Arabidopsis thaliana: one gene and its partner. The protein of the gene in region 2 purifies or fractionates together with the protein of the main gene of each other region. This does not show direct contact. Each region holds a gene or a part of one and is shown on either strand. Other genes may lie near its edges. The genes, in order: ALATS and VLN3.

Region 1 (16,955 bases), on a different chromosome or scaffold from region 2:
TATAATTATTTAAATAAATTAGTTGTAGAAATAAGATTTTGATAGTATGTATTTTAAATAAAAAAATATTATTGGTAAATTATACTTTATATAATATTATTCCCAATTATCAATGTGAGTTATATATGTCATAAAGTAGGTATTTACCTACTATTTATATCCATATAACTAAATTTAATATATATATATATATAAAATATAGTAATATTTTTAAAGAAAATAAAAAAATAAAGTGAAAAAAAAAATAAAAAAAATATAGACCTTCTAAAAATCTTAAAGTTATGCTGTAGAAAAACTTGCACTTACAGCCAAAATAATTAAAATATATATATAAATATATAGTATTTGGGGTGTGAGAAAAAAATAGGAAAGTTAAAACATGATTGTTTCAATATTGATTGTAGGTTTTTTAGTGGCTTTATAAATCTTTTACATCCCAACCAATCATGTTCTAAGATTGAATTATAGTGTCATTTGAAAAAATGATACTAAATATTTTTTACCTTCACTAGTTTTAGTATCTCTTTTTAAAATGACTCTATAATTCGAGCATCATTTTAAAAATGATATTAAGATTTTTTTTTAAACTGATGTTAAACTCATCAATTTTGTAGTGATATCATTAAGAAATCTTAAGCAAAAGGAAATGGTTTCAAATTCACAATAAAATAAGCAAATTTATATATCTTTAAAAGATGACGAAACGTTAACGTCCATCAACCGAACAGTTAATTTATGTTTGCTACTATTCGTTTATTTAATTTAATTTAAATTTTAATTAAATTTATTATTTATTTCTTATTTACGATTAATTAAAAATGACTAATATGATAATAATTTATGGATACGGTAGTTTATACATTTACCCGTGCATGATATATATCAAACGATTGTAAAACTTCCCAACCGCCAAAATCATACTTGCTTGCACACGAAAGCATATTGCAGACGTCTTCTCTGCTATATGCGTCCGCGTTTGCTTTAGGCTTGAAGAAGAAATGCAAAGCACGTGCATGTAAACCCCCACCTCCAAGTAAAATTTTTAATTTGTTTCGGTTACTGTTTCTCTCAAAGATGTAACACCTAAATTGATTCAACAAGGGTTTTAATAGGTTTGATCCGATGTTTAATGTTTTTAAAGTCTCTGTTCGAGATTCTTCTTTTGGTGAGAAAGTGGCTACACTTTGGATTGATATAATAAAGATGAGCATATATAGCCTCCAAAATTTTGTAGGCATTTCAGAAATTTTTCGGATCATAGGAGGAACATGTATGTACCTTTTAAGTCTCATCATTAATAATTCTGTGTTTCATATTTTTACTGTGAAAATGAGAATGACTAACGATTTTATTTATCTGATTTTGGCATTAATTAACTTATTCAAATTGCTTTTCAGTTTTCATTGTGACATTAGTTCTTTATGATCTTATCATATGTTTTTTTTTTCTTTGTTCAGGACCAAACCATTACGTGATAATGAAGATAAAGCATTGGGACCGGTGGCTAGCATCTTTAAAAGACGACGATTACCTCAAGAATATTGAAGCTATCAAACTTTATCTAGCCGTCATGTCAATATATGTAAGTTCATTATATATAACTTGTCATAGAAATGGCGTAACAAAAGTTCCGGAAATCACTGTTTATTTGTTTGTTTGCAGGAGCCGGATTTGTTGGATGAATATATGATTGATGATGATTTCCATCCCATGATCTCTCGTCTCAAAAATGTAACTTTAGATGTAACCTCGGCTAGGTTTAAGGAACTATACATTACTGAGAGGTAAGAAATTCTCAGCTTATTATATTCTCGATTCGCTAGAACAATTCAGGATTTAACTTAGCCTCGAGTGAATATTAGGCAATCCGTTTGATTACCATCTGATTTCAGGATTTAACTTAGTCTCGAGTGAATAGCAGAGAAGACTTCTTCAATCGAACATTAGGCAATCCGTTTGACGAACATTAGATTATATGATTTTTGACTTTTTCGCTTGTAATTTGATTTACTAGTTCCTTATAATTAAGAAAACACTTATGGTGGCTTCTAAGGAATTAGTGTTATGTGTTTTAGCCAATTAGAACTAAAAACCATAATTTACATAAACTTTTAATGAAACTAAGAGATTTTGCATGGCCAGTAGTACAACTTCCAAGGATCTGGTGGTAGTTACCTCTTAAAAGAAACTTCTACTCTTTCTGCCATATGACTGCGAGATGTATCAATGTACTCAATGTTCTTCTCCGAAGTTAAGAAGTTAATGATTCGATGGATCCGATAGATTTACCCAAATCTTTTCCAAAATTATTGTAATCTTGTTTTTACCTTTTTTTTGTCAAGATTACATTTGTTTTAGGTACTCCAATATGTAAGTCCGAACTTTCATTTATATGAATATTAACATTTTAGCAAAAAATGTTAAGAAAATCTGAGCTTCATTTTGATGCCTTGAATCAATAACTTTCTTTCCAAGTTACAATGCCCTCTTGCCATTTTCCGTTTCGGGAGTATTAAGGAAATTATTAAACAATCTCCTTTTTTCCGATAAGAAAAATTTCTATTTTGTTAACGGAAGAATTGGAGTCCTTTTCTCTTGTATTTTCCTTTCTTCTTGGGTTAAGCCTCCTATAAATATGTTTACATCTAAGAACACGAAATATAAACAAATTTTCTTTCTACTTGCAAAAGATCTAGGGTTAAAATTTTAGCAAGATGAATTATGCTAGAGATGAACTAGACGGGGCTATGATCATATCAAAGACTCTAACAAAGAGTGACATTGTTGGTAATGTGGCATTACCAAAAGCGCAAGTGATGTCTGTCCTCACGAGGATGAATGGTGTCACAGATGAGGGTTTGGACAACGGTTTTGAAGTGCAAGTCCACGACATAATGGAAGACGATCTGTACACAGTTACCCTGAAAAGAATTGACGACATGAAGTATTATTTCGGGACTGGTTGGAGTACTATGAAGCATTCATTAGATCTCGTAGAAGGCGATGTTCAGAAGCTCTATTGGGATCAGTTTGAAAACAAATTCATTGTTCTCAATTTTCAGCATAAGACTATGGGAATAATGATTCCTGTGTAGCTTGCTTACATCTATCTTCCTATATTTAGTTGCTTTAATTACTTATGTTTTCGTTTTCATATTTTAATTAAGTGTTGGTTTTTTGTTTGACCTAATTTTTATGTTGTAGTTGTTAAATCTAATTTAATTGAAATATCTTGAATTTCAAGAGAGCAAGCTGCATAGCTGTTTCTTTTGTTATATTTCTTGTCATCTCTTATAATTACAAAAAAAAAAAAGTAACATTGAATCGAGTAAAATATATCACAATCTCAAAAACATTGAATCGAGTAAAATATACACTGAATCTCAAAAATATATAGGATTGAAACCTTTTTCTTCTTAGATCACACAATACGAGTAATCATGAAAGCACCAACGTTAGTGTGAGAGGGAAATAAGTTTTGACTGATCGAGTTGTTGGTTCTACACATGTGACTTGTGTAGGGAATTACGGTAATTCAATTACCAGAATTTTTTCATTGGTAGAAAGCTTTTGATGCGTTGGTGTGTTGAATATGGCGTTTTGATAGAAATAGAACTTTATTTCCTCTCTTTCTTCTCTCTCAGGTTTATACTTATTGGTTCAGATAGACCAGAGGAAAGGTTTTGCTTAACACACAAGAAAACCTATGTCAGAGAATTCCAAGCATCTTTCTCCCCCAGATATCATGCACAATGAGGCATATATTCCTTTTCAAGAGCCGCAACTCCTCTCCAAGCTGTACATGTTCGTCCCGCAAGTTGAGTATTCTCTGATTCTCATCATTGTAGCTGAGATTCAGAAAATCTCTTACCAAACATGTCTCCGTCTACAGTCTTGAGAAACATATCCCAAGCAAACCTATCGAAAATGACACCTTACTTTTTGGTGATGGAAAATCTGTTTGGCGAAAATATAAATCATTCATCAACTTGGACGTTATCTTCACGGAACTTCCTGCTTAACTCGGAGCTTGAATTATTCATCCATTCAAATCGTTGCATGTTTTATTGTATCAATTGATGGTGTTTTTTAAAGTTCTTTTTAATTTGTTTGATGAGAACATAACAGATTATTTGTTTAGTTTATATAGAGGTGAGTATTTAGAATTCTTTTTCTTTTAGGATTAATAATTAATTGTAAAATTAATTCTTTATTGTATTTTATATAATAAAATGGTATATTTTTTAAATCCATTATTCATATTCTAGTTTAAGTGTTCGGTTTTTTCTTTCTATTACCCTAATTTCTGTTGTAGTTTTTATTTAATTGGAATACCTTGAATTTCAAGAAAGCATGCATAGAATGTTTTTGTTTTTTTTTGCTTGTGTCGTCTCTTACTATTGCAACATATGCAATTAGCATGTTCTTACTTCCATTGCTACTAACTCCATTTGAAACATATGATTTGATGTTCTCATATACTCTTTGCCACTCGTTCCATGTACTTATCATTGCCAGAAATCCTCCAAGAACTGTTATAGCTAGAGGTAAACCTCCACACCTTACAATTATCTGCTTCCCAATCTCCTCCATTTTCTTAACCAACATTGGCTCTGCATATCAGGTGAATAAGTGTGTCAAGTATGATAGTATATATGCTGCAGAAAGATTAGAGCCTAATGATTACCTATATTTTCTCTTCCAGATAATGAAATTTTCTCCAACAGCTCCCAACTCTCTTCACATGTTAGCTTCAATTGTTGCTCATGAAGCACACCCCTGGGATCAGCATATAAAGCGACCAATGCTGCATATTGAGGTTAGCTTCTCTTTTGTTCTCAAGTTTGTCACCATTGTAAATGAGCAGCTGGAAAAGAAACAACTCTTAAGGGATATGCGGTACGCAGTTGCTGCAACTAGGGAGTTACTTCCGTCGTTGATGAACGACTACTAGTTTTCTGTGTCCAAATACTTTTCTGAATCAGTTCATCCGAGATCTTTTTTCCTTCTGTAAAAATAATAATATTTTTTCTTCTTTTTTTGCAGATTTCTTCTTATATCACAAGTATTCTCTATGGCTAGTCTCTTATTATATGCATCTATTTTGTCTACTGAAGACATAACTTGCAACATTTCTTGGAGTTTTTGGTCTTGATCAAGTATGTTTTTTCTGCCTCTCTGTGATTGAAACTGTGTTCTTTGAAAACTGGACTCAGATTGATTTTAGATGTGAATGACTCTAATCGAATTAGTACTGGTTCTTGTTGATGTATCTGACTTTCATTTTTAACTTTTTATTTCTTACAGGTTCATCCAGTTATCATCTGTAGCTGGATATGTGAAGTGTCTTCTTGCGAACTTATGTCTTAACTTTGAAATACTTTGAATAACGATGATAATTTGGAGTAATGATGGTAATTTGATCAAATTGTGTTTGGCTTTTTGGTGTGTCCATTTGCAGAGATATATTGCTTTTTAATAACGAGAAAAATGTTATTTAATACCCTAATTTTCAAATTATAACCGTTTTATACGTCAACTTTATATATGGTCATTTTAAACATGATGTTATCGTTGACCACCATTTAAACCATGAATATTTCGTTGACCAGGCCAAAAAAAATAGTCGTTAACGGATTATTCAACTCCCGTTAACACCTCCGTTAACCATTCTAAACGATGTCGTTTTCGTTACTATAAATCATGTTTTACCCTTTTATAAGCTTTTAAAATCCCTTGTAAATCATTCCAATGCCACTTACTTATGCTTAAAAAAACATTGTAAACCATGCTAGCCCTTTTTAAAAATCCTTGTAAATCATTTTATGCCACTTACTTATGCTTTAAAAACGATGATAAATCATGTTTTACCTTTTTATAAGCTTTTAAAATCCCTTGTAAATCATTCAATGCCACTTACTTATGCTTTAAAAACGATTGTAAATCATGTTTTACCCTTTTATAAGCTTTTAAAATCCCTTGTAAATCATTCAATGCCACTTACTTATGCTTTAAAAACGATTGTAAATCATGTTTTACCCTTTTATAAGCTTTTAAAATCCCTTGTAAATCATTCAATGCCACTTACTTATGCTTAAAAAACGATTGTAAACCATGCTAACCTTTTTTAAATCCCTTGTAAATCATTTTATGCCACTTACTTATGCTTTAAAACGATTGTAAATCATGTTTTACCCTTTTATAAGTTTTCAAAATCCCTTGTAAATCATTCAATGCCACTTACTTATGCTTAAAAAACGATTGTAAATCTTGTAAAACTATTGTAAAAAGTTTTAAAATGATTTACAAAGGTTTAAAAAGGGGTTTTAAAGTATTTACCTATGTTTTTAAAGACTTTATAAAGATTTTAAGAGGTTTTAAAATGATTTACAAGGGTTTTTAGCAATTACCAAAGATTTTAAAAAACTTTACAAGGTTTTTTAAAAGAGTTTTTAAAAAATTTACAAGGATTTTTAAAAGCATTTTTTTTGCTGGGAAACAAAATTTACGAGAAAAAATTTTGGCGGGAAATTTATTTTTGGCGGGATTTTTTTTTTTTTGGCGGGAAAAAAAGGTTTGGAGGTGTTCTTCAATGAATAGGGGTGCTTGATGAGGCTTGTATTAAATGGTAGAAGTCCATGGAGAAATCGAAGTGTTCAAAATCGGAGGTGTTCTTCAATGGAAGCTTTACTATGGAAATGTTTTGTTTCGTTAAAGATGAAGAAGAAGAACTTTAAGCGTATATAAGTATCTGTGTTTGTATAGAATGACAGAGAAATCTTTGCAGGTAGAGTGGTCAAATGACCTTTGATTTTTCTCAAATGATAGGGGTTCGAATCCCAGGTCTGTCATTTCTTTTTAAAGAAAAACGAAAACGACGTCGTTTAGAATGGTTAATGGAGGTGTTAACGGGAGTTGAATAATCCGTTAACGACTAATTTTTTTGGCCTGGTCAATAAAATATTCATGGTTTAAATGGTGATCAACGATAACTTCATGTTTAAAATGACCATATATAAAGTTAACGTATAAAACTGTCATAATTTGAAAGTTGAGGTATTAAATAACATTTTTCCCTTTTAATAACTGTAACCAATATGTAACAGAAATCCATCCAACCCAATTTGATCAATAGCGTAAAAACTCATTATTGTTATAAAATTTTAGGTAGTTTACATCAAAATAATATCATTCATTTTTTATACTATAAAAATAGTATTTAGATTAATATTTAACAAGAATAAGAATAATTTTTATATATAGATCATATCAATCCACATAATAAAAAGAGAAAAACTCAAATATGAAAAAAATTCAAGTAACAAAAATATATTAGAATTACATTTGGTTGATTGGAAAAAAAAAAATTACGTGTAAAACTATAGTATTATCTGAGAAACGAATACAAAAATTTGCAACAGTAGCAGCAAAACAAATTCAAAACTTGCGGCAACGACAACAGCAACAACAACAACGAAACAAACAATAACATGCGAGGCAGTCTCACGGCTAGTGGCAGCAAACCCAACAGTTTATCTAAACGAGAACCAAAATTTACTCTCGTTTTTTTTTTAATGTTATCCTTTGATGAACAAAATGTATTTTCCAAATTTTACTTTTTTTATTTTTTAAGTATTATCCCTTAAAATAATATATCTTGCGGAAAAGGAATCGGATTAAATAAATTTTAACGGTAGAAAATAGGATAGGAGGAGAGAGAGAAGGTCTTTTATTGGTTTGAATGAGATTAGTGAAGGCAGCTTCTCTTCTGATTTCTTCAACCAAACCTCCGTCTAGGGTTTTTTACTCTTCCCATCTCCGCCGCCCTTTTTTCTCTCACTTCCGTTTTTCTTCCTCTTCGTCGACGTCTTCCTCCGTCGCAGTCATGCCGGGTTCCGAACCATCGGAGACTCAGTGGCCAGCAAAGAGAGTCCGGGATACTTATGTCGATTTCTTCAGAGGCAAAGGCCACAAGTTCTGGCCATCAAGCCCCGTTGTTCCTCATAATGATCCTACTCTTCTCTTCGCTAACGCTGGTACGATAACTTCGATTCCTCATATCTGTTTTTGCCGATAAGATTGGGAATTTGTCCAAGTTGATCTATGGAATTCAGATTCTATAGAGTTGACTTATTCTGTCTTCTTTTGTCTTTGAAGCTTTGGGACTTATTCAAATTTCTCAATTTCAGTTTTGGTCGAAATTTTCTGATATTGATACTGAGCTATGTAAATTAAGTTCTCTTGATATGTCTGGCGAAAAATAGAATTATTAATGACATTGAAACTTCTCTGTTTTTCAAGGAATGAACCAGTATAAGCCAATATTTTTGGGTACGGCCGATCCAAATACTGAGCTTAGCAAGCTATCTCGGGCATGTAACACCCAAAAGTGTATTCGTGCTGGTGGAAAGCATAATGATTTGGATGATGTCGGCAAAGATACGTACCATCACACCTTCTTTGAAATGCTTGGTAACTGGTCCTTTGGAGATTATTTCAAGAAGGAAGCTATCGAATGGGCTTGGGAGCTCTTAACCAAGGTAATTAAATACCTGGGAAATTTGTCTCTGTTTACTTGATTTAAGAAAAATATACATGGTATTATTCAGTAAACTATTGTCTCCCTCCCTTGGGACGGTATGTCTCAATTTTGTTAAGTGATTCTTCTCTTTTCATTTGGTTGTACATTTCAGTTTTGTAAAGTGATTCTTCTCTTTTCATTTGGTTGTACATTTCAGTTAGATACCTTGTGACAGTATTTCATAATTTTGTAAAGTTACTATTCTCTTTTCGTTGAGGTTGTTTATTTCATTGAGGTTGATACCTCCCTGTTTTCATGCCTCAGGTCTATGGGCTACCGACTGATCGAATCTACGCTACATATTTTGGCGGTGATGAGAAAGCTGGCCTTCAACCTGATAATGAGGCTAGGGATATATGGTTGAAGGTTCTTCCATCTGGACGTGTGCTGCCATTTGGTTGCAAAGTATGTATTGATTATTTAAGATAATAACTTTTAATCTGTTACCTAATTTTTTTGAATCCACTACTCATTGATTTCCTCTCTCCTGAGGTTACTTCACAAGTACTTCAGCTAAGTTGCCTTTGTATTGTCACCATTGTTTCTTGTATATATTGACACATCTGTTTGTCAATGCTAACGACAACCAACTGTAAGCTTGAATGCATTTTGGCTAGGAATACGCTATCATGTTTGGTAGTTGGCAGGCTTTAAAAACCATTGTTTATGATTTACAGTCAAAATCTTGTACAAAATGTAAAACTTAAGGGTTTTTAAATGCTGTTTTTCTTTCATTTAACTTTTGATTAAACTGCAGGACAATTTCTGGGAAATGGGCGACACAGGTCCGTGTGGACCTTGTACTGAAATACATTATGATCGCATTGGTAACCGTGATGCTGCATCCTTAGTTAACAATGACGATCCAACATGTTTAGAAATATGGAATCTTGTCTTTATTCAGGTACAAACCCTCTCTGTCCCAATTGTTATTTAGTTCCATTTTACTAATCTTTATCTCAATATCACAATTGTTTTAATGATTTTGTAGATTGTGTTACTGAAAACTCTATATTGTGCAGTTAGCTAGATTGTTATTGCTCCTTTAGCTGTGCTATCATATTCCCAATTGTTTCCTCTGACTGGGATGTTACTTATGTCTTCAAAATAGTTCAACCGAGAAAGTGATGGCTCGCTAAAACCTCTGCCTGCTAAGCATGTTGATACCGGGATGGGCTTCGAGAGGTTGACTTCTGTTCTTCAAAACAAAATGAGCAACTATGATACAGATGTGTTCATGCCTATCTTTGATGACATCCAAAAGGTAATTTGTGAAAACTTCTGTTGATGGTTTCATGACAGCTGTTTAATGATGGTTTCATTGAGTTATTTTTGTTTGGCCTCCTCTTAGGGACGCATTTGTCACCTTAATTAGTACTATCATCATTTTAGTTCATCAATTTTGAAGTGGATCATGGGTTCTATGCTTTACGTCGAGACTCCGTCAATTGTTTTTGAATATTTCTGGTTTATTGAATTTGGATTTCATGATAAAGGCATTCTACTATGGGTATCCTGGAGATTATTCGTTGTTAGCTGTGTCACTTTTCATGTATTTTTCTTAGTGAGAGGATTGAAAAAATCTTCAAATTGCTCTGTTTACCCTAGTTGTTGCGAATCTTAAGTTTAGGTGTTGATGCTTTCACTTTTTTAGGCAACGGGAGCTAGGCCATATTCTGGAAAAGTTGGTCCGGAAGATGTTGACAGAGTTGACATGGCATATAGAGTGGTTGCTGATCATATTAGAACCCTATCATTTGCAATTGCGGATGGCTCTCGTCCTGGTATATACTTGGTTTCTTGTCTCAATCACAATTGTGGTGGTTACAGAAAATACAATCGTCTTAGTATTCAATCATTTATTTGAGTTCATACTTATATGTTCTCAGAAAAAGTGTTTTTGGTTCATTTATTCTAAGTTGGGCATGATGAGTTTGTCAATTTTCTTCCTCAGACAATCTGTTATGTTATACAAATAGAGGTTTGTTATTTCTTGTAGTCTAACAAGTACCAATTAATATACTATCTCTTGCAGGTAATGAGGGCCGTGAGTATGTTCTGCGGCGTATTCTTCGTCGAGCGGTTCGCTATGGAAAGGAGATCCTAAAAGCTGAAGAAGGATTTTTCAACGGGTAGGAAATTATGTTTGATTTTCGTTGCATGTTTTGTTTGAATATTGTTTCAAATATTGTTTCGTTGTAGCTGGAACGTTTATTTCTGTCTTGTATCTTTATAAATGAGCATATTTTTTTGACACATGTTTTATCTCGGGCTTTCATATTACCTGTAGGCTTGTAAGTTCTGTCATTCGGGTGATGGGCGATGTCTTTACAGAGTTGAAGGAACATGAGAAAAAGATCACAGATATAATTAAAGAAGAGGAAGCAAGCTTTTGCAAGACCTTGGCAAAGGTAAGGGCTGGATTTAATTTCCGTCAAAGCTTTGAACCTCTTATCTTATTTTGTTTTGGGTTCTTCTGGCTCGTCGCACTGAAGTAAAAGAGACAGTTCACAGCTTCAATCAGTGGCATGTGATATTTCTGTATAGATTGTTTCCAATTTCATCATTGTTCAGTTTTAATGATGGTTAGACATAATTATAGTATTTTCTATAGGGAATCTTTTTTCTGAAAGATGAATTGGCTTTACCTGGTCGTTCCTCCCTTTTTTATGTGAATAGGTGGTGAGTATAAGAACAGTTAGACTGATTATAAATTTTCACGGCAGGGAATTGAGAAATTTCGGAAAGCTGGACAGGCGGTTCAGGGGAATACACTGAGTGGAGATGTACGTATCGAATCATTTTTGTGATGTATGTTAGGCGTTGCAGTATTTTCATCTGGGATGTTTGAATTCTATCTCAACATGTTGTCTTCTCTTTGCAGGATGCTTTTATCTTATGGGATACATATGGTTTCCCGTTAGATTTAACTCAGGTACGTAAGTCATTTATACTTATTTCTGAATGTTCGTGTTATTTTCTAACTTTTATTCTCGGGGTTCAGTTGATGGCTGAAGAAAGAGGGTTACTGGTTGATGTTGATGGTTTCAACAAAGCCATGGAAGAGGCGAGGGAAAGATCGAGAAGTGCCCAGAATAAGGTGTTTCAACTTTCCTCTTGTTTACTTTCTTAAAGAGCGTTTAATGCCAAACTTACGTGTGACTATGAACGAAGTTTGCAATCACATCATCTATTAACCAATCTTTTAATGTCATTTTTTTATAGCAAGCTGGTGGTGCCATTGTTATGGATGCTGATGCTACATCAACATTGCACAAGGCTGGTGTTTCAGCAACAGATGATTCTTTTAAATACATTTGGTTCCAGGTTTGTCCTTTTATTCCAGAAAACTTGCATGTTGCACCTGAAATGTTCTTATGTTGGCGTAGAAATGAAGAAGTTAGGGCATATAATAGTAAATGGATTTTGCTTTAAAGAAACCTTTATTGGTACTCTGCCACATATCGCTGCAGGACCACGAGAGTGAACTAAAGGCAATCTATACTGGCTCTACTTTCCTAGAAAGTTCAGCTGCTAGTGATAACGTGGGACTAGTATTGGGGTCTACAAGCTTCTATGCTGAGCAGGGTGGTCAGGTAATCCATTTTATTTGATATGTATTTTAGTTTGCTAATTGTTTTTCATTTCTGATCATATGACTGGTGGCATGAAATTGCAGTCTTCAGTATGTTCATCTTGGATTTGTATATATATACAAATGTAGACATGGCAGTAACACCATGAACACAATCATATCAGAACTGCATTGTTTGAATTTATGTATCGGCTGGCAAATACCATGATATAGTTATTGTTGGTTTTGCATACTAATTTCTGAAGTTGTCGTTGACAGTCACATAAATATTTTTAGATTTCATATCCATGAACAAGGTTAAGCTTTTGATTCACTTCCAATCATCTATATGTATATAAACTCTGTGCCTCTAACATTTTTTCTCTGGCAATAGATTTTTGACACTGGACTTATAGAAGGCTCGTTTGGGACATTCAATGTATGCAATGTACAAATATTTGGGGGCTTTGTTCTTCACATTGGTTATCTCTCTAAAGAAACTGGAGAGGTATCTGTGGGTGATAAAGTGATTTGCAAGGTAACTCTCTGCATCAAACAGTGTTTGTCTCATTCACCATATTTGGTACTATCCAATTTGTTTCCACCTTCGTTTTCATGCGTATAGGTTGACTATGAGAGGCGTAAACTCATCGCTCCTAATCATACTTGCACACATATGTTGAATTATGCCCTGAAGGTATCCCTTTTCTATAATTTAAGTAACCTAAACTGTGATTTTCTAATTTTTTCTATTGGATCTGAAAATATTCATGTCCCATGAATTCAGGAAGTGCTCGGGGATCATATTGATCAGAAGGGATCAATTGTTCTTCCTGAAAAACTGCGATTTGATTTTTCTCATGGTACATTTTTGAATAAAGTCATTTTTATTTTGATGTGGATGGTCATCTTAATTGTCTGATGGGTTCCATAATTTCGAGTAGGCAAGCCGGTTGATCCTGAAGATTTGAGAAGGATCGAATCCATAGTGAATAAACAGATCAAGGATGAATTAGATGTGTTTTCCAAGGAAGCTGTGCTTTCTGAAGCCAAGCGCATCAAAGGTCTAAGAGCAGTGTTTGGAGAAGTAAGCTGTCCATCAGTTCTGTAGCTATACCTTTTTAGTTTGGTTTCTAAGAATTGTTAAAGCGTTCTCTCTTACTCTTTTTAGGTCTACCCCGATCCCGTCAGAGTGGTGTCAATTGGGAGGAAGGTTGAGGATCTCTTGGCTGATCCTGAAAACAATGAATGGTCATTGCTTTCTTCCGAGTTTTGTGGAGGTCTGTTTCCATTGGCATTAGCTATTGGGACCAAGATATTACGTTCTGAATAGAATGTTGAGTATAGGGTTATTTTGACAATTCCAGGAACCCACATAACAAACACCCGCGAAGCCAAAGCATTTGCTCTTCTATCGGAGGAGGGAATTGCTAAAGGTATTCGTAGGGTAACTGCTGTGACTACTGAATGTGCTTTTGATGCATTGAATGCGGCGTCCTTACTTGAAAGAGAAGTAGAGGATGCCTCCAGAGCGGAGGGAAGTGCATTGGAAAAGGTTTTCTCCCTCTCTTTGTCAAACTATTGACAAAATGAAGACGATGTCGTTACTTGGATTCACGTAAAACTTATTGTGTTTGTATTTGCACATTCACAGAAAGTTTCTGCTTTGAAAAGCCGAGTAGATGCAGCAATTATCCCAGCAGCTAAAAAGGCAGATATTAGGACTAAGATTGCTTCGCTTCAGGTTATAAGCTCTTTCAGCCTTACAGTCAGCAGCTTTGTCTAGATTTCCCTGTAATTTTGTAATCAAAGCAATTCTGAAGTGGCAATTATTGTTTTCCTAACTTCGCAGAATGAAGTAAGAAAAGCTCAGAAGAAAATAGCGGAACAAAACCTGAAAAAATCTGTCAAATTAGCAACAGAGGCAGCTGAGTCCGCAGCATCAGATGGGAAGACTTTCTGCATAATCCAGCTGGATGTGGGTCTTGATGCAGCAGCTGTGCGAGAGGCCGTTTCAAAAGTCATGGAAAAGAAGGTAATCCGTATTTTCTTACATCATCACTTGTACCATAACCTGTTCATAGATAGCAAGAAAGTTAAATTAACGTTTCCGTTTGATTAACCTTGCAGGGTATGTCGATAATGGTGTTCAGCACAGATGAAAGCACAAACAAGGCGGTTGTGTGTGCAGGAGTGCCAGAAAAATCAGACCAGTTTAAGCCGTTAGACGTCACTGAATGGTTGACAACTGCATTGGGTCCTCTAAAAGGAAGGTGCGGGAAAGGGAAAGGTGGTCTTGCATCAGGGCAGGTATGAGTCCTATTCTCTTTAGTCTACAATGTGATAGTATCATCTACAAAGAGATGTTAAATCTTCAACATGTTGTTTTGGTTTTAGGGAACGGATGCTTCTCAAGTGCAGGCGGCTTTGGATATGGCTTCATCATTTGCATCAATGAAGCTCAACTGATTTGGTCGGGAGGTTACATAATCTGTGAGGTCAGAATAACCTCTACTTAATTTGCTTTCATTGTACACCGTTTTACACATGTTTTAAGAATCTGTTAAATTTCTCTGTTCTTGTGATGGAATTTGTGGTATCACACTCTTTTAGTCAAAGTTACCAATGGCTGTTATAATCCCTTGTGAAATGATCCTTTCCCGTTTGCGTTGAAATGGTTATTTAAAAAAAAAAAATAGGATTTGGTATGGACTGGTCGGCTTTAGTTACCAAAAGCATAAAACTGAATTGATTTACCTAAGTTCCTTTAAATTTGTTTTGGATTGACTGAAAATGAATTGCACATTTCTGAAAACAGTGATATATATGTTACTAGTAGATAAAAAACTAAATCCTAAAATCCTAGACTAAAATATAGAGAAATAATTTCAAAAGACAAAAACGTTTCAATTCAATAACTCATAAGAAAATAACGAAAAAGTGTAATTGGGACAGCAATAGTAACTCAAGTTGGCAGATACGAGTTAGCTCCTGCCTTTATTATATAGCTGGCTGAAAAATAATCATTACAAAGTGGGTAAGGAAGTCTATCTCTATCTCTAAAGCAAGAGAATTCATAGTTGAGAGATTCTACAGCCATGGACGGAAGCAAAAGTAAGCCCTTGTGTCGTATGTCTGATCTAGCAAAGCCTCACAAACTTGGCCGACGATTTGATCCACCGCTCACCGTTTGCATCTCCTGCAAAGGCCAACAATACACTGGGAATAGGCGTGGGTACTATTACTATTGTGCTACTTGTGATTTGGAATTCCACAAAGGTTGTTACTTGTTTCCTCCAGAAATCAAACACCCTTTCCACCTCATCCACCCTCTCACCCTCACCTTCTTAGATCATAATCTTGTTAGCTCTGCGATCCCTGAAATTTGGTTTCTGTTAAGCACGGAATATCCATACAAGCATATGTTTGGAGATGAAGAAGAATGTGCTTCAGATGGGAATCATAAAAGATGCAACTCTTGTCGGAAAAAGATCACATACCGCGACCCAGACTATCCTTCGTTTTTTGATATAACATATTATCATTGTTCTATCTGCAATTTCAGTCTACACTCTTCTTGCGTAAAGGATTCACCACCTCATACTATTGAAAACCTAAAAAGCCATGAACACACTCTTACCCTCTTTCCTAGACTACTCCCTTTGCCCTGTGATGCTTGTGGTTTTTCACTTGACGCTCGCAATGATTCAGTTTACTCTTGTTTGCTTTGTAACTACATGGTACACAGAAGATGTATCTACTTACCTCGTGTCATTAAGATCACCCGTCACCAGCATTGACTCTCTCACACTTCCTCAGTTGCTGTTCCTTCTGGTGATGAGCTCTCTTGTGGTGTTTGTCGCAAACTCGTTGACGTCAACTACGGGCAATACGCTTGCAAAAAGGGATGCCACTATGCTGTCCATTCGAAATGTGCAACAAAGAATGAAGTGTGGGATGGTAAAGATCTTGATGGAGTGCCTGAGGAAGAAGAAGAAGAGATTGAGCCATTCGTGAGGATTGACGAAGAGACAATACAACATTTCAGTCATGACCATCACTATCTAAAGATTCATCATGGGAATGACAACCATGAAAACAAGTTTTGCCAAGCTTGCATCCTTCGGATAACAGTTTCGGATAGCTTCTATAGCTGTGTACAATGCGATTTTGTCATCCACGAAACATGTGCAGGCCTTCCTCGCATAAAACACCATCCACTACACAAACACCCGCTCACCCTCTACCATTTACACTATCCTCATCTCAACGAGGTCCAGTCTAAATACTATGACCTAGGTTTCTTCGCGTGTAGTGGTTGTAGCCGAGAATGTTGTGGTTTCATGTACAAGTGTTGTGAAAAGGATTGTGACTTTCAACTAGATGCAAGGTGTGCTTCGCTTCCTGATCCTATAATCCATGACTGCCATCCACATGATCACCCTCTCTTCTTCAATTTGACCGAAGGTGAATGCATGGTTTGTAAGATTACATCCGGATTAAGAAAGTACTTAGAATGTATTGAATGCAGGTCCTTTTCGTGTCTTACTTGTGCTACTATGCCTCTGGTGGCTCACTACAAGTACGATAAACATCCACTCACTCTTTGCTGTGGAGAAGAAAAGACAAAAGATCTCCAGTATTGGTGCGAGATTTGTGAATCAGAAATAGATGCACAAAAGTGGTTCTACACATGCAGCTATTGTTCTGTCACTCTTCATGTTACATGTTTACTGGGAGATAAGGTCTACATGAAGCCAAACCATATGATCAAGATGTACGAAGGTGCAAAAACAAGTA
Region 2 (13,635 bases):
AGGATACGTCGCCATTACTGAGTTCTTCTTCCGAATGAAGTTTTTCTCTGAGCTTCTGCGAATGGCGCGATGATCTGATTTTGTTTTGTTTTTGAATTTCACTTTCTGTCTCTCACTAGAATTCATTCGTACTCTGTTATATTGCAGCGCCTAGAGAGGAATTAAAATTGATGAGCCCATATATTAGGCCCATGAAAGGCCTTATGGCCCATTTAATCCTCTATCTCCTTCTTCGTCTTTCCTCGCCTCGTCTACGCATTACTGTTACTGATACAGTTTAACAGAAATCTCCACGAACCTCGATTTCATAAGCAAATAAAGATATTTTCGGAGAAATATCTTAATGTCATGTCCTCTTGCCTTCACCTTCTCTCTCCCGTCTATTTTCCCCTTTCCTTCTCAACTGCTTCCATTTTCCCGCCATAAACATCCTTATCTTCTTCGCGCCACACCAACCTCTGCAACCGAAGATGTTGCCTCCGCCGTTTCTGGCGCACCTTCAATATTTATCTCTCAATCACGCTCTCCGGAGTGGTGGATTGACTTGCTCCGGTCCAAAGTTCGATCTAATTTGCTCCGTGAAGCTGTTTTGACTTACGTTGACATGATTGTTTTGGGTATAAAACCCGATAATTATGCGTTCCCTGCTTTGCTAAAGGCTGTAGCAGATCTTCAGGACATGGAACTGGGGAAACAGATTCATGCCCATGTGTATAAATTTGGGTACGGTGTGGATTCCGTGACTGTGGCTAATACCCTTGTGAATTTGTATAGAAAGTGTGGAGATTTCGGAGCTGTCTATAAGGTGTTCGATAGAATATCTGAGAGAAACCAAGTCTCTTGGAATTCTTTAATTTCTTCTTTGTGTAGTTTTGAGAAGTGGGAAATGGCGTTAGAGGCATTTCGGTGTATGTTGGATGAAAATGTGGAACCTAGTTCGTTTACCTTGGTGAGTGTGGTTACTGCTTGTTCGAATTTGCCTATGCCTGAGGGATTAATGATGGGTAAGCAGGTTCACGCCTATGGTTTGAGAAAGGGTGAATTGAATTCGTTTATAATCAACACATTGGTGGCTATGTATGGTAAACTGGGAAAATTAGCATCTTCTAAAGTCTTACTTGGTTCTTTTGGAGGCCGTGACTTGGTCACATGGAACACTGTGTTGAGCTCGTTATGTCAGAACGAGCAGTTGCTTGAAGCATTGGAATATTTGCGTGAAATGGTGCTTGAAGGTGTTGAACCAGATGAGTTCACTATTTCAAGTGTTCTTCCTGCTTGTTCACACTTGGAGATGCTTCGCACAGGGAAAGAATTGCATGCTTATGCTTTGAAAAATGGCTCTTTGGATGAGAATTCCTTTGTTGGTAGTGCTTTGGTTGACATGTATTGCAATTGCAAGCAAGTGTTGAGTGGTCGTCGAGTATTTGATGGAATGTTTGATAGAAAGATTGGTCTGTGGAATGCTATGATCGCTGGGTATTCCCAGAATGAGCATGACAAGGAAGCGTTGTTGCTTTTCATTGGAATGGAAGAAAGTGCTGGGCTTCTGGCTAACTCTACCACAATGGCAGGTGTTGTTCCTGCTTGTGTCCGTTCTGGTGCGTTCTCTAGAAAGGAAGCTATCCATGGATTTGTTGTGAAGAGAGGTTTAGATAGAGACAGGTTTGTGCAGAATACACTGATGGATATGTATTCTAGGCTGGGAAAGATCGATATCGCCATGCGGATATTCGGTAAAATGGAAGATAGAGATTTAGTTACGTGGAACACGATGATTACGGGTTATGTATTCTCAGAACACCATGAGGACGCACTTCTCCTGCTACACAAGATGCAAAACCTTGAAAGAAAAGTGAGCAAGGGGGCTAGCCGAGTTAGTCTTAAACCTAATTCCATCACTCTGATGACAATCCTTCCCAGTTGTGCTGCACTATCAGCATTAGCAAAAGGAAAAGAAATTCATGCTTATGCCATCAAGAACAATTTGGCAACTGATGTGGCTGTCGGAAGCGCTTTAGTTGACATGTACGCAAAATGCGGGTGCCTACAGATGTCGAGAAAAGTGTTTGATCAGATTCCACAAAAAAATGTTATTACTTGGAATGTGATTATAATGGCTTACGGGATGCATGGAAACGGTCAAGAAGCCATAGATCTGCTAAGAATGATGATGGTTCAGGGAGTAAAACCAAACGAGGTTACATTCATCTCAGTATTTGCAGCTTGTAGCCACTCAGGCATGGTGGATGAAGGATTAAGGATATTCTATGTTATGAAACCCGACTACGGGGTTGAACCAAGCTCAGATCATTATGCTTGTGTTGTAGATTTGCTTGGAAGGGCTGGTAGAATTAAAGAAGCATATCAACTCATGAATATGATGCCTCGTGATTTCAACAAAGCTGGAGCATGGAGTAGCCTCCTTGGTGCCAGTCGGATTCACAATAACCTAGAAATTGGAGAAATTGCTGCTCAAAATCTCATTCAACTGGAACCAAATGTAGCTAGTCACTATGTGTTACTTGCCAATATTTATTCATCAGCAGGCCTCTGGGATAAAGCAACAGAGGTAAGAAGAAATATGAAAGAGCAAGGCGTGAGAAAAGAACCTGGATGTAGCTGGATTGAGCATGGCGATGAAGTACATAAATTTGTAGCCGGTGACTCATCTCACCCGCAAAGCGAAAAGCTCAGTGGATATCTCGAGACATTGTGGGAGAGAATGAGAAAAGAAGGATATGTACCTGACACATCTTGTGTACTCCACAATGTAGAGGAAGATGAAAAAGAGATTCTGCTTTGTGGACACAGTGAGAAGCTAGCAATTGCGTTTGGGATACTTAACACATCACCCGGTACAATTATTAGGGTGGCTAAAAACCTCAGGGTTTGTAATGATTGTCATCTTGCAACCAAGTTTATCTCAAAGATTGTTGATAGAGAAATCATCTTGAGAGATGTTAGGAGGTTTCATCGTTTCAAGAATGGAACTTGCTCCTGTGGAGACTATTGGTGAAAGATAAGCTCCATAAAACTCTCTTTTTTCTTCATTGTATATCTTGTAAGTGTTGATTCTTGTATAAGTTATACAGTATAACACACAGTTGAACACACTGATCTTAACAAAATTATTAGTATTAAATGTACTTATTGGTCTCTGTAGTCATTAAGAAAATAAATTAGATAATTTAATAAACTAATCAGCCTTTAGTTAATATGTACCTTTTCCATCATGTGATGGTTTCTCTGGTCCTACAGATCTGCTCTTTAGTTGTTGTCTCTTTGTACATAGAAGGATAGATGAGTGATGTGGGCATTGTTGTAGTGTTTCAGTAATCAAAACGTAAAGAACAAACAAAGGAAAAAAAAAAAATTACTAAGAAATTCCCAAAAGAGGAAGACATTGACCTCGCAGCTCAACGAACGACTTCGCTTTCGCAGTTTGCATTGAATTGAAGCATAAGCAACCTCCAAATTCCGACAACAACCGATTTCCTGCAGAGAGAGTCTCTCTTTGTTTGCCCTGGATAGGAAACCTACACTACTCTTTGTGATTTGATTTTGTTATCTGAATTCAGAGTCTTGCTTCTGGGTTTTGGTCTGGGTTTTGGAGGTTTAGTGCTTGAATCTGATGTTGGTTCAAGATCGTGTGGCTCCTAAGCCACCAAAATCTCGGATCAGAGAACTTCCTAGTCGGGACCGATTCGCTGAACCCAAAATCCTAGATTTCTCTTCATGGGTTTCCGACAATGTCTACAGAATCGTAATCATCTTCCTCTTCATCGTCACCGTCGCTGCTTTCTTCTTCCTCTACAACACCACCGACACTGCTTCTCTCCTCTGTTTCCAATCCCAATCAACTCAATCTCTTCAATCTCTCACTCGCCCTCAAATCAACTGGAACTCGATCCAAATCGTCTCCGACAAAACCTCACCTTACGCTAGTTTCCGTACAGAGAAATGGATCGTTGTGTCGGTGACAAAGCACCCAACAGAGGAGCTCAAAGGTTTGGTCAAGATTAAAGGATGGCAAGTTCTAGCGATCGGAAACTCTTTAACACCTAAAGATTGGAATCTCAAAGGTGCGATTTTTCTATCTCTAGATGCTCAAGCTGAGCTTAATTACCGGATTTTGGATCATTTGCCTTATGATTCCTTCGTACGCAAAAGTGTCGGTTACTTGTTTGCGATCCAGCATGGTGCAAAGAAGATCTTTGATGCAGATGATCGTGGTGAAGTGATTGATGGAGATCTTGGGAAACATTTTGATGTAGAGTTAGTTGGAGAAGACGCTAGGCAAGAACCAATCTTACAGTATAGTCACGAAAACCCGAATCGAACTGTGGTGAATCCGTATATCCATTTCGGGCAACGATCGGTTTGGCCTAGAGGTTTGCCATTAGAGAATGTAGGTGAGATCAATCATGAAGAGTATTACACTGAGGTTTTTGGTGGTAAACAGTTTATTCAGCAAGGGATTTCCAACGGTTTGCCGGATGTTGATTCCGTGTATTATTCCACTAGGAAGACGACTTTCGAACCGTTTGATATCAGATTCGATGAGCATTCTCCTAAAGTGGCGTTGCCTCAAGGTATGATGGTGCCTGTGAATTCGTTTAACACATTGTACCATTCCTCTGCGTTTTGGGGGTTAATGCTTCCTGTTTCGGTTAGTTCCATGGCTTCAGATGTGATTAGAGGTTACTGGGGACAAAGGCTTTTATGGGAGCTTGGTGGTTATGTTGCTGTTTATCCACCAACTGTTCACCGGTATGATAGAGTCGAAGCTTACCCTTTCTCTGATGAGAAAGATCTCCATATCAATGTCGGTCGTTTGATCAAATTCTTGCTTGCTTGGAGATCAAATAAGCATAGGTTCTTCGAGACGATTCTTGATTTGAGCTTTGTTATGGCTGAACAAGGGTTTTGGACTGAGCTAGATGTGAAATTCACAGCTGCTTGGCTCCAGGATTTGCTTATGGTCGGATACCAGCAGCCTCGGTTAATGTCACTTGAGTTGGACCGCCCACGAGCAACCATTGGTCATGGAGATAGAAAAGAGTTTGTTCCTAGGAAATTGCCTTCGGTTCATCTTGGGGTCGAGGAGATAGGCACAGTGAGTTCTGAAATTGGGAACTTGATTAAGTGGAGGAAGAATTTTGGGAATGTAGTGCTTATAATGTTCTGTAACGGACCTGTGGAACGTACTGCTCTTGAATGGAGGTTACTTTATGGGCGGATATTCAAAACCGTGGTCATTTTGTCCTCTCGGAAAAACTCAGACCTTTACGTCCAAGAAGCTAAACTCGATCACATATACAAGTAATCAAGGAAACTTGCATAGAATCTCAGTTTCAACCTATTCTTCCACCAATGTGAGCTTTCTAACTGTAGCTCTGTTATATCCATTTCAGGCGGCTACCGAAGATATTTGATCGGTACAGCAGCGCTGACGGATTTGTGTTTGTTGAAGATGATACAGTTCTTAATTACTGGAATTTACTTCAAGCTGACAAAACCAAGCTCTGGACTACAGACAAGGTACTCATTCAGTAGCTAGTTGTTCAGCATAAATATAATAGTACCAATTGGATTTTAAAAAATGTTTGGTTTGAGGAGTTATGGTTGGATTCGGTTTTATGACAAAGAGTCCCTTTTTTAGGTAACGGAGTCATGGACAACGGTGAGACCAGCCGGGAACTCGGATTGGTATTCGGTTCAGGCGGAATTAGTCAAGAAAATTGTCAGTACAATGCCGGTTCATTTCCAAGTCAATTACAAGGAAGCCACAAAGAATAGCGATGGCACAAGCTTAACGATGTGCAGCTCGGAAGTTTTCTATGTCCCTAAACGCTTCGTCTCAGACTTTACAGATCTTGTTAATCTCGTTGGTGATATGGATTTGCATTACAAAGTTGCTGTGCCTATGTTCTTCCTATCGATGGATTCGCCTCAGAATTTTGACCCGGTTCTAGGCTCAATGGTATATAAGTCAGAACCAGCTTCGCTAAACTCTTCTTTGAGTTTGTATTCAGCGGAAGCACCTGCAGTTCATCCTTGGAGCATCTCGAACGAACAAGATTTCATTAAATTGGTGAGGGAGATGGCGGAAGGTGATCCGCTATTGATGGAATTGGTATAATGATGAGTCAAAACAAGAGTAAGTAGCTGCAGCGATGAAAGGATGTTTAGAAACAGATTTACCATTTGTGTTATACAAAAAAATGCTTCATTGATTTTTTGGTTCTCTTGATGTAATTTCTCCATGTAATTCGTGATGTTTATAACTTTCTCAGTTAAAATGTTTTGAAGAAGAAAGGTCACTTGCAATCGTGAATAATAATCACTTTGAACTAGACGGTGTTATTGTGACGCTTATACTATGCGCATTGCTCTGACGGCAAAACATTGTTTCATCCAACACACAACAAATGGTCAACGAAGTGAATAAAGGTTTTTTTTTTTGGAATACATTTTATCCAAGTTAAATTAATCCGTTTTACTTGAAATAAAAAAAAATCCGTTTGAGGTTGAGAAAAGAAATTAAATATTCCTATCCCACTTGGAGTACTGAGTCGAGTAACCTTATCTTCTATGACCCAAAAATAAATAAAAAATCACGTCGTTGTCATCTGCTTCGAACCGGCAACATATATTCAAAGTATATGGATTATTTTGACTGCATGAGTAATGAAAGCGACCAATTTCTAATTTTTTCTTTTGAGTTGTCATTGTATTGCCTTCATGATGAGTTGGCTTTGCTTCTTAATATATACTACTACTTTTCTTATAACGCATCATTTATTTTCCAAAAAATAAACGATAGTGGTATTTCGTAAAATATTGATGAAACAACTCTGAGGTTAGCAAAAGTATATAATATTGGTTGAGGTTAATTGGTCGGCACCGGCGTAGATATGGTGACCGCCATCATTCTGCACGTACGTAATATTCTACTTCTTTTCATATGTCTAAAAGGAATATATAGACACACACTAGAAATATAACGATAAATACCAAATAAATGAGTATATATATATGAGTATATATATATATAAAAAGATGATCAAAATATCGAATAATGTTGTTCCATATATATATGATTGTTTTCAAGATTTCCTATGATTGTAGTAGATCCCGTAAAAGGATTAGTGTATTTCTATGATGATACTGAAAGTTTTCATATGCATAAAAATGTATCCTTTTAAAAGAGTTTGTTTGTGTCTATTCACATGCGAAATGGACCCAATGTCGTCGTCTTGAAATGATGATGTTATTAAAATTACTAATAATAGTGTGCATTTTGTTATAATATGCTTCAAACTTTTTCTTTATCCTTTTATGTTCGATCTTTAACATCGTCTGCCAAGTTCAAACTCAGCATGTTTTTTTTTTGTTTTTTTCAAAAGGCTCAGCATGATTTCTTAATTGTGAATAGTAAGAGAAAACATGAACAAACCAAATTGTTGAAACTGACTGTTTTCACCAATCACACATTTATCATGTATGAGAAATTCCAATATTATGCCATTTAATTACTCTGCAAAAATTATTGACAAATTAAAATTCACTTTATGGTTAAATTAAGTTTATCTCTTTGGTGCATTTTGTATATATATATATATTTTATAATTAATCTCTCTTTCTGCCTTAAAAATAAATCACAGTCTCGCTCGCGTCTTTCCTCAAACCTCTCTGTCTCTTCTTCTTCCTCGCCTCGTCTACGCAATAATACTACTCTTATATCACAAAATCTCCACGAAAGGTTTGTATAGAGATGCTATAACATAGCACACATCTCCTTTCAATAATTCGCTTTTTCCTCTCTCTCTTCTTTTTCATGTTTTCTTGTTCCTGATCTCTCTCCATTACTTTTTTGCCCATCTCTTTGTCTTCCTCAGCGCTACTCGAAGATCTGTCTTTTCAGGTATGATGGGTTTGTTTGGATCAGCTGATTTCGATTCAAATTAACGTTTTTTGGATCTCTCTCTGGTTGTTTGTACTTGAATCTGAGTTTCTCGGTCTGCTTTGTACTTGCTGATCTCTGCTTTAAAATTGATTGTTTTCTTCTTTTGGTTCTCTGATTATGTGGTCATGCATTCATCAGCTTACTTTAGTATTTCTCAAAAGTAAGGCTCTATCCGTTGAGAAACAAGAACGAACAAGTTGATCATCGGATTATTTTCTGACCCGAAATTCAGTTAAAAGTAAGCTAAGACAGAATTGAAGTTTGCGTTGATCTTTAAACCAAAACAAGTGGTGGATTCGCGAGTGTGTACCAATATTACTGCAAAGTTGGATCACTGTTTCAAGTCTTGGACTTTCATTGTGAAAATGGTTGAGATCCACATGGAATTGAAGGTTATATGTAGATCATTCTAGAGCCTGACTACTGTAGTTTAATTGATTACTTCGATTATTTGGTGGCGGGAGATGTTTGCCAGAAGGAAGGTTTGATTCAGTAATCATCGAGGCTGATCTTATAAGAGTTATTTGCATTTCCTCTGCTTCTCATGTCTAGAGATGTATATTCACAACAGAGCTTATAGCGATACATGAAACTCCGAGTGATAGCCAGGCTCAGTTTTGAACCCCTTGAATTACTTTCCCTGAGGAACCATTATTATGAATGATTTCCAGATAATAATGAATTGTGGGAGAGAACTGAGTACTCAGATTGTTGCAGAGTTAATATATTGCTCAAACATGCTTCTACGTAATACTGTATATTCTCTCATATATGATTGCCATTTAGAAATTCAATTATAAAAGCTAGACCTTTGTGTTGCTCTTTAGTGTTTTTTAGGCTCCTATCCAAGCGCCAGTTTCTTCTTATAAAACAATCTCTTACCTTCTTATTTTTTATGCTTGCTCTATGTTTTTGGCAGGTCGTTTATGTATTTTCTCTTGAAGGAAGAGATTAGCCACTAATACAAAATGTCTGGGTCAACAAAAGTATTGGATCCTGCGTTTCAAGGAGTGGGGCAGAAACCGTATCCTTTCAAAAAGTATTAGATCTCAAGGGAAGCAATATAATTGTTTCCTACAGAGAGGAAGATGCTATTTGTTGTTGCTATCTCTTTTGTATGCACCAGTTTGCTGGTAATGTTAAATGTTTTACTGCTGTCTGAGATGTTGAACTTTAACATTTCTTAGAGGTACTGAAATCTGGAGAATCGAAAATTTTGAGCCAGTCCCAGTACCAAAGTCTGAACATGGAAAGTTCTATATGGGAGATACCTACATTGTCTTGCAGGTTTTGATTTTTTTCACTCTTCTTCTCCCCTTTTTATAGACTCTTATCAAGAATAGATAATAAGATATTAGCTTACAGAACAGGACAACATGCTTTCTTGTCTGATCATATGTATAAAATATATGCTCCTTTATTATCTTTCACATTTATCATGATTAGCTTTCATATGTGCAGACCACACAGAATAAGGGTGGCGCTTATCTATTTGATATACATTTTTGGATTGGTAAAGATACAAGCCAGGTATTTATTTTTGGGCATGATAGCATATATTACGTTCTAAATTTGAATCGTCATTATTACTAATCTGCGATTGATAATTCCAGGATGAAGCTGGAACAGCAGCTGTCAAGACAGTTGAACTTGATGCAGCTCTTGGAGGCCGAGCTGTCCAATATCGTGAAATTCAAGGTCATGAATCTGACAAATTCTTGTCTTACTTCAAGCCTTGCATTATACCACTAGAGGGTGGTGTTGCGTCTGGATTTAAAAAACCGGAGGAGGAGGAGTTTGAAACCCGGCTGTATACCTGCAAAGGAAAACGTGCTGTCCACTTGAAGCAGGTTTTCTTTGCTGCAGATTTTTAGAAGTGTTACACTCTCTTCGCATGAGTGTTTAATATGTATATACTTATCTCTTTTCTTTTGTAGGTTCCTTTTGCACGCTCATCTCTGAATCATGATGATGTGTTTATCTTGGACACCAAGGAAAAGATTTATCAGTTTAATGGTGCAAATTCAAATATCCAAGAGAGAGCTAAAGCGTTGGTAGTCATTCAATATTTGAAAGACAAGTTTCATGAAGGAACTTCTGACGTTGCTATTGTTGGTAAGTTGTATTAGACGCATTACAACTAATATTTGAATATCTTCTTTTTCACGTTTTGATCAGTCAATCAAGCAGCAGTTGGATGCTCAATCAATTTATTGCGGTACTCATGCATGTATAATAATTTCCTTGCATAACAGATGATGGAAAATTAGATACAGAATCAGATTCTGGCGAGTTCTGGGTCCTCTTTGGGGGGTTTGCTCCAATAGCAAGGAAAGTTGCGAGTGAGGATGAAATTATTCCGGAGACAACTCCGCCTAAGCTTTATAGGTACTTGTCTCCCTTTTGATCTGCTCTATTGGTTTTCAGATGTTTTCTGCTTTAAACAATGTTGTAAACACTTAATAGTCATTTGTTTTTATGTATTACTCGTTTATGGATGTTGATTTATAGTTGCCCTATTTTAGTATCGCTGATGGTCAGGTGGAATCTATAGACGGCGATTTGTCCAAATCTATGCTAGAAAACAATAAATGCTACCTTTTGGACTGCGGTTCTGAGATCTTTATCTGGGTTGGCCGAGTAACTCAAGTGGAAGAGAGAAAAACTGCTATCCAAGCTGCTGAGGTAAAGCTAGAATCGTCTAACTTGCTTAGCCTTAGAATATCTGAGGATTGGTTCTCATTTTTACCTTCCTCTACAGGATTTTGTTGCTAGTGAAAATAGGCCAAAGGCAACACGCATAACCCGTGTTATTCAAGGTTATGAGCCCCATTCTTTCAAGTCTAACTTTGACTCTTGGCCATCAGGCTCGGCAACTCCTGCTAATGAAGAAGGACGAGGAAAAGTCGCTGGTAAAGATTGCTTTGATACTCTAAATTATTAATAAAACAATGAAAGATCTCTTATCCCTGACTTACTTTGGTACTTTTCCTATTGTCTAGCATTACTTAAGCAACAAGGTGTTGGGTTAAAGGGCCTGTCAAAAAGCACACCAGTGAATGAGGATATTCCACCATTGCTTGAAGGAGGTGGAAAGTTGGAGGTCTGTTCTGTCTTCTGACTTGTTGTGCTGTTATTTGCTCAATCTAATTGGTTATTTTCATCCAAACTCATTAAGCTCATGTAACAGGTTTGGTACATTGATGCCAACTCCAAGACTGTTCTATCCAAAGATCATGTCGGAAAACTTTATTCTGGGGACTGCTATCTGGTCCTTTATACCTACCATTCTGGTGAAAGGAAAGAAGACTACTTCTTGTGCTGTTGGTTTGGAAAGAATAGTAATCAGGTAATCACGTGAAAAGGTGCATCTTTGATATTTTTGTTCATATAAAAAGGAAGTCCCTATTTCTTCTGTTAGTATTTTCAGCTCTTTTAATAACTGGAAAGAGGATAGTAAGACATAATGTATTGACAAAGCCGGCATGTTTAGCTTCTTCCTGGTTTGTCTTGTAAGACATTTTATAAGTAAGATTGAAACTTGGTTGGGTCTATAAGATGTTTCAAAATTCATATTTGTAAATGTGCTGCAGTTTTACTCTTTAGCTATTGAGGGATGCTGTTAGTATTGTAGTTTATTGTTATGAGTTGTTGCCTCTCAACTTTTGACGTGGTGGTCAAAGTTTGGGTACATATTGTGGTAGATTTCATCTAATCATTTTTTTCAATTATGTATATATTTGAACATGTTGAATATTTAGCCATCTAAATTTTGTTTTCTCCCGAGTTTAGGAGGATCAAGAAACAGCAGTTCGTCTAGCGAGCACAATGACAAATTCGTTGAAGGGAAGACCAGTGCAGGTACCATGTTTTGTTATTGTAAGTAATGGCCACTAGCAGTGAAAGATTGTTGAATAACTTGATCTTCTTGCAGGCCCGTATATTTGAGGGTAAAGAGCCTCCACAATTTGTTGCACTTTTTCAACATATGGTTGTCCTTAAGGTATTTCTTTTGATTGTTAATACAGAATGCTTGTTGCTGCAAGAAAATGTATTGGTAATTGATATAGTTACACTAACATTTAGGGCGGTTTGAGCTCTGGTTACAAAAATAGTATGACAGAGAAAGGTTCGTCAGGCGAAACCTACACGCCGGAATCAATTGCACTTATTCAAGTATCTGGAACTGGAGTTCACAATAATAAGGCTCTACAAGTTGAAGCGGTAATTTTCTACCTTTCTTTATCTCTTGCTAAGTGCTTTTTCTACCTTACACTGTTCAAAACTTGGCTGCCTATTCGTGTAATGTTAGAATTTGAAATTGATGCCTAGATGTTGTTTAGTTTGTATTAAGAATACACAGGTCTGCGATTGTCTGTGACATTTGTGCAATCCTTTCCGCAGGTGGCAACTTCTTTGAACTCCTATGACTGCTTCCTTCTGCAATCGGGTACTTCCATGTTCCTTTGGGTTGGAAACCATAGTACGCATGAGCAGCAGGAACTGGCTGCTAAAGTTGCTGAATTCTTAAAGGTAGTTTCTAATGGTGTTATCTTTGATTTTAATTTAGCTGAAATTGTCCAAGTAGGAATGGTATAATTTTTATTAAGCTTTTAAATAAAAACTCACTCGTACTTCTTATCACTTTTCTGTAACTGGTAAACTTAATCATCTTCTTTCTTGCTAAGTCAGCCTGGGACTACTATCAAGCACGCAAAAGAGGGAACAGAGAGCTCATCCTTTTGGTTTGCACTTGGGGGAAAACAGAACTTCACCAGCAAGAAAGTTTCCTCTGAGACTGTCAGGGATCCTCACTTGTTCTCCTTTTCCTTCAACAGAGGTAATTAAAATCAAGACATCAATTATGAGGGTCAAAGCATCTAATAGGGTCATTTTTGTTGTTGATATACTTGCATATTTTAACTTTCTCATTCTTCTTTTCATGTGTCTGCATGGATCCTCAGGAAAGTTTCAGGTGAGAATTTAGAAAAATATCCAACGTTTTTTTATCAAGATGTGTTGCATGTTTTAACATATTACCTTGCACAGGTTGAAGAGATTCACAACTTTGATCAAGATGACCTCTTGACGGAGGAAATGCATTTACTAGATACTCATGCTGAAGTTTTTGTCTGGGTTGGTCAATGTGTGGACCCTAAGGAAAAACAAACTGCCTTTGAGATTGGCCAAGTAATATGCCTCATCAGTTTTGCTTCTCAGCATAGTGATTCCTCCTTCTTTTCTCTCTTGTTTGCTCATTGTACAGTTTTGCGCAGAGATACATAAATCTGGCTGGTTCGCTGGAAGGCTTGTCTCCAAAAGTTCCATTATACAAAATCACTGAGGGAAATGAACCGTGCTTCTTCACCACTTATTTTTCATGGGATTCTACTAAAGCTACTGTAAGGTTTTCTGTTCGCAGATATCTTTTGGTTTATTAGTATGAGAAGGGGGTCCCTTTTTTTTTAGGGTGGTAGTTAATGTGATTGTGTTAGAGAGGGTTTGGGAACATACTCATTTAAAAGCAATCTTGTATGCAAATACCAATTCTGTTTTCAGCACCCTTATATAGAATGCAGTTAGTGATCACATCTCTTTTGTTAAAATGACCTGTAGAATATATAAAACTGAGGAAGCTCTGCGTTTATAGAGGAGGAAAGATTTAC

What was found.
Region 1: the proteins of VLN3 (region 2) and ALATS fractionate together in Arabidopsis thaliana (co-fractionation; one large-scale study listed by BioGRID). This does not show direct contact.

The regions. Positions count from the first base shown.
Region 1 is NC_003070.9:18,589,098-18,606,052, reverse strand, and holds ALATS (Alanyl-tRNA synthetase), read left to right. Parts: upstream 1-7,573; 5' UTR 7,574-7,741; coding exon 7,742-8,036; intron 8,037-8,301; coding exon 8,302-8,540; intron 8,541-8,845; coding exon 8,846-8,986; intron 8,987-9,338; coding exon 9,339-9,485; intron 9,486-9,692; coding exon 9,693-9,845; intron 9,846-10,235; coding exon 10,236-10,365; intron 10,366-10,616; coding exon 10,617-10,713; intron 10,714-10,871; coding exon 10,872-10,992; intron 10,993-11,307; coding exon 11,308-11,367; intron 11,368-11,465; coding exon 11,466-11,516; intron 11,517-11,585; coding exon 11,586-11,681; intron 11,682-11,806; coding exon 11,807-11,908; intron 11,909-12,054; coding exon 12,055-12,177; intron 12,178-12,549; coding exon 12,550-12,693; intron 12,694-12,780; coding exon 12,781-12,852; intron 12,853-12,942; coding exon 12,943-13,018; intron 13,019-13,099; coding exon 13,100-13,242; intron 13,243-13,326; coding exon 13,327-13,435; intron 13,436-13,522; coding exon 13,523-13,710; intron 13,711-13,809; and 9 more. Other genes in the region: AT1G50220 (B3 domain protein), read left to right, coding at 1,478-1,582, 1,663-1,784, 2,711-3,095; AT1G50190 (Cysteine/Histidine-rich C1 domain family protein), read left to right, coding at 15,254-15,875, 15,975-16,955.
Region 2 is NC_003074.8:21,245,112-21,258,746, reverse strand, and holds the start of VLN3 (villin 3), read left to right. Parts: upstream 1-7,587; 5' UTR 7,588-7,765; exon of another isoform or gene 7,766-7,901; 5' UTR 7,902-7,927; exon of another isoform or gene 7,928-8,888; 5' UTR 8,889-8,937; coding exon 8,938-8,993; intron 8,994-9,156; coding exon 9,157-9,256; intron 9,257-9,430; coding exon 9,431-9,499; intron 9,500-9,582; coding exon 9,583-9,819; intron 9,820-9,906; coding exon 9,907-10,084; intron 10,085-10,224; coding exon 10,225-10,357; intron 10,358-10,494; coding exon 10,495-10,654; intron 10,655-10,730; coding exon 10,731-10,881; intron 10,882-10,971; coding exon 10,972-11,072; intron 11,073-11,159; coding exon 11,160-11,318; intron 11,319-11,761; coding exon 11,762-11,830; intron 11,831-11,903; coding exon 11,904-11,972; intron 11,973-12,055; coding exon 12,056-12,193; intron 12,194-12,373; coding exon 12,374-12,502; intron 12,503-12,661; coding exon 12,662-12,809; intron 12,810-12,933; coding exon 12,934-12,944; intron 12,945-13,018; coding exon 13,019-13,159; intron 13,160-13,245; and 4 more. Other genes in the region: AT3G57440 (uncharacterized protein), read right to left, coding at 1-15; OTP84 (Tetratricopeptide repeat (TPR)-like superfamily protein), read left to right, coding at 344-3,016; AT3G57420 (transmembrane protein, putative (DUF288)), read left to right, coding at 3,632-5,322, 5,415-5,541, 5,663-6,142. UniProt on the Arabidopsis thaliana protein: Binds actin and actin filament bundles in a Ca(2+)-insensitive manner, but severs actin filaments in a calcium-dependent manner, regardless of the presence or not of VLN1 (AC O81643).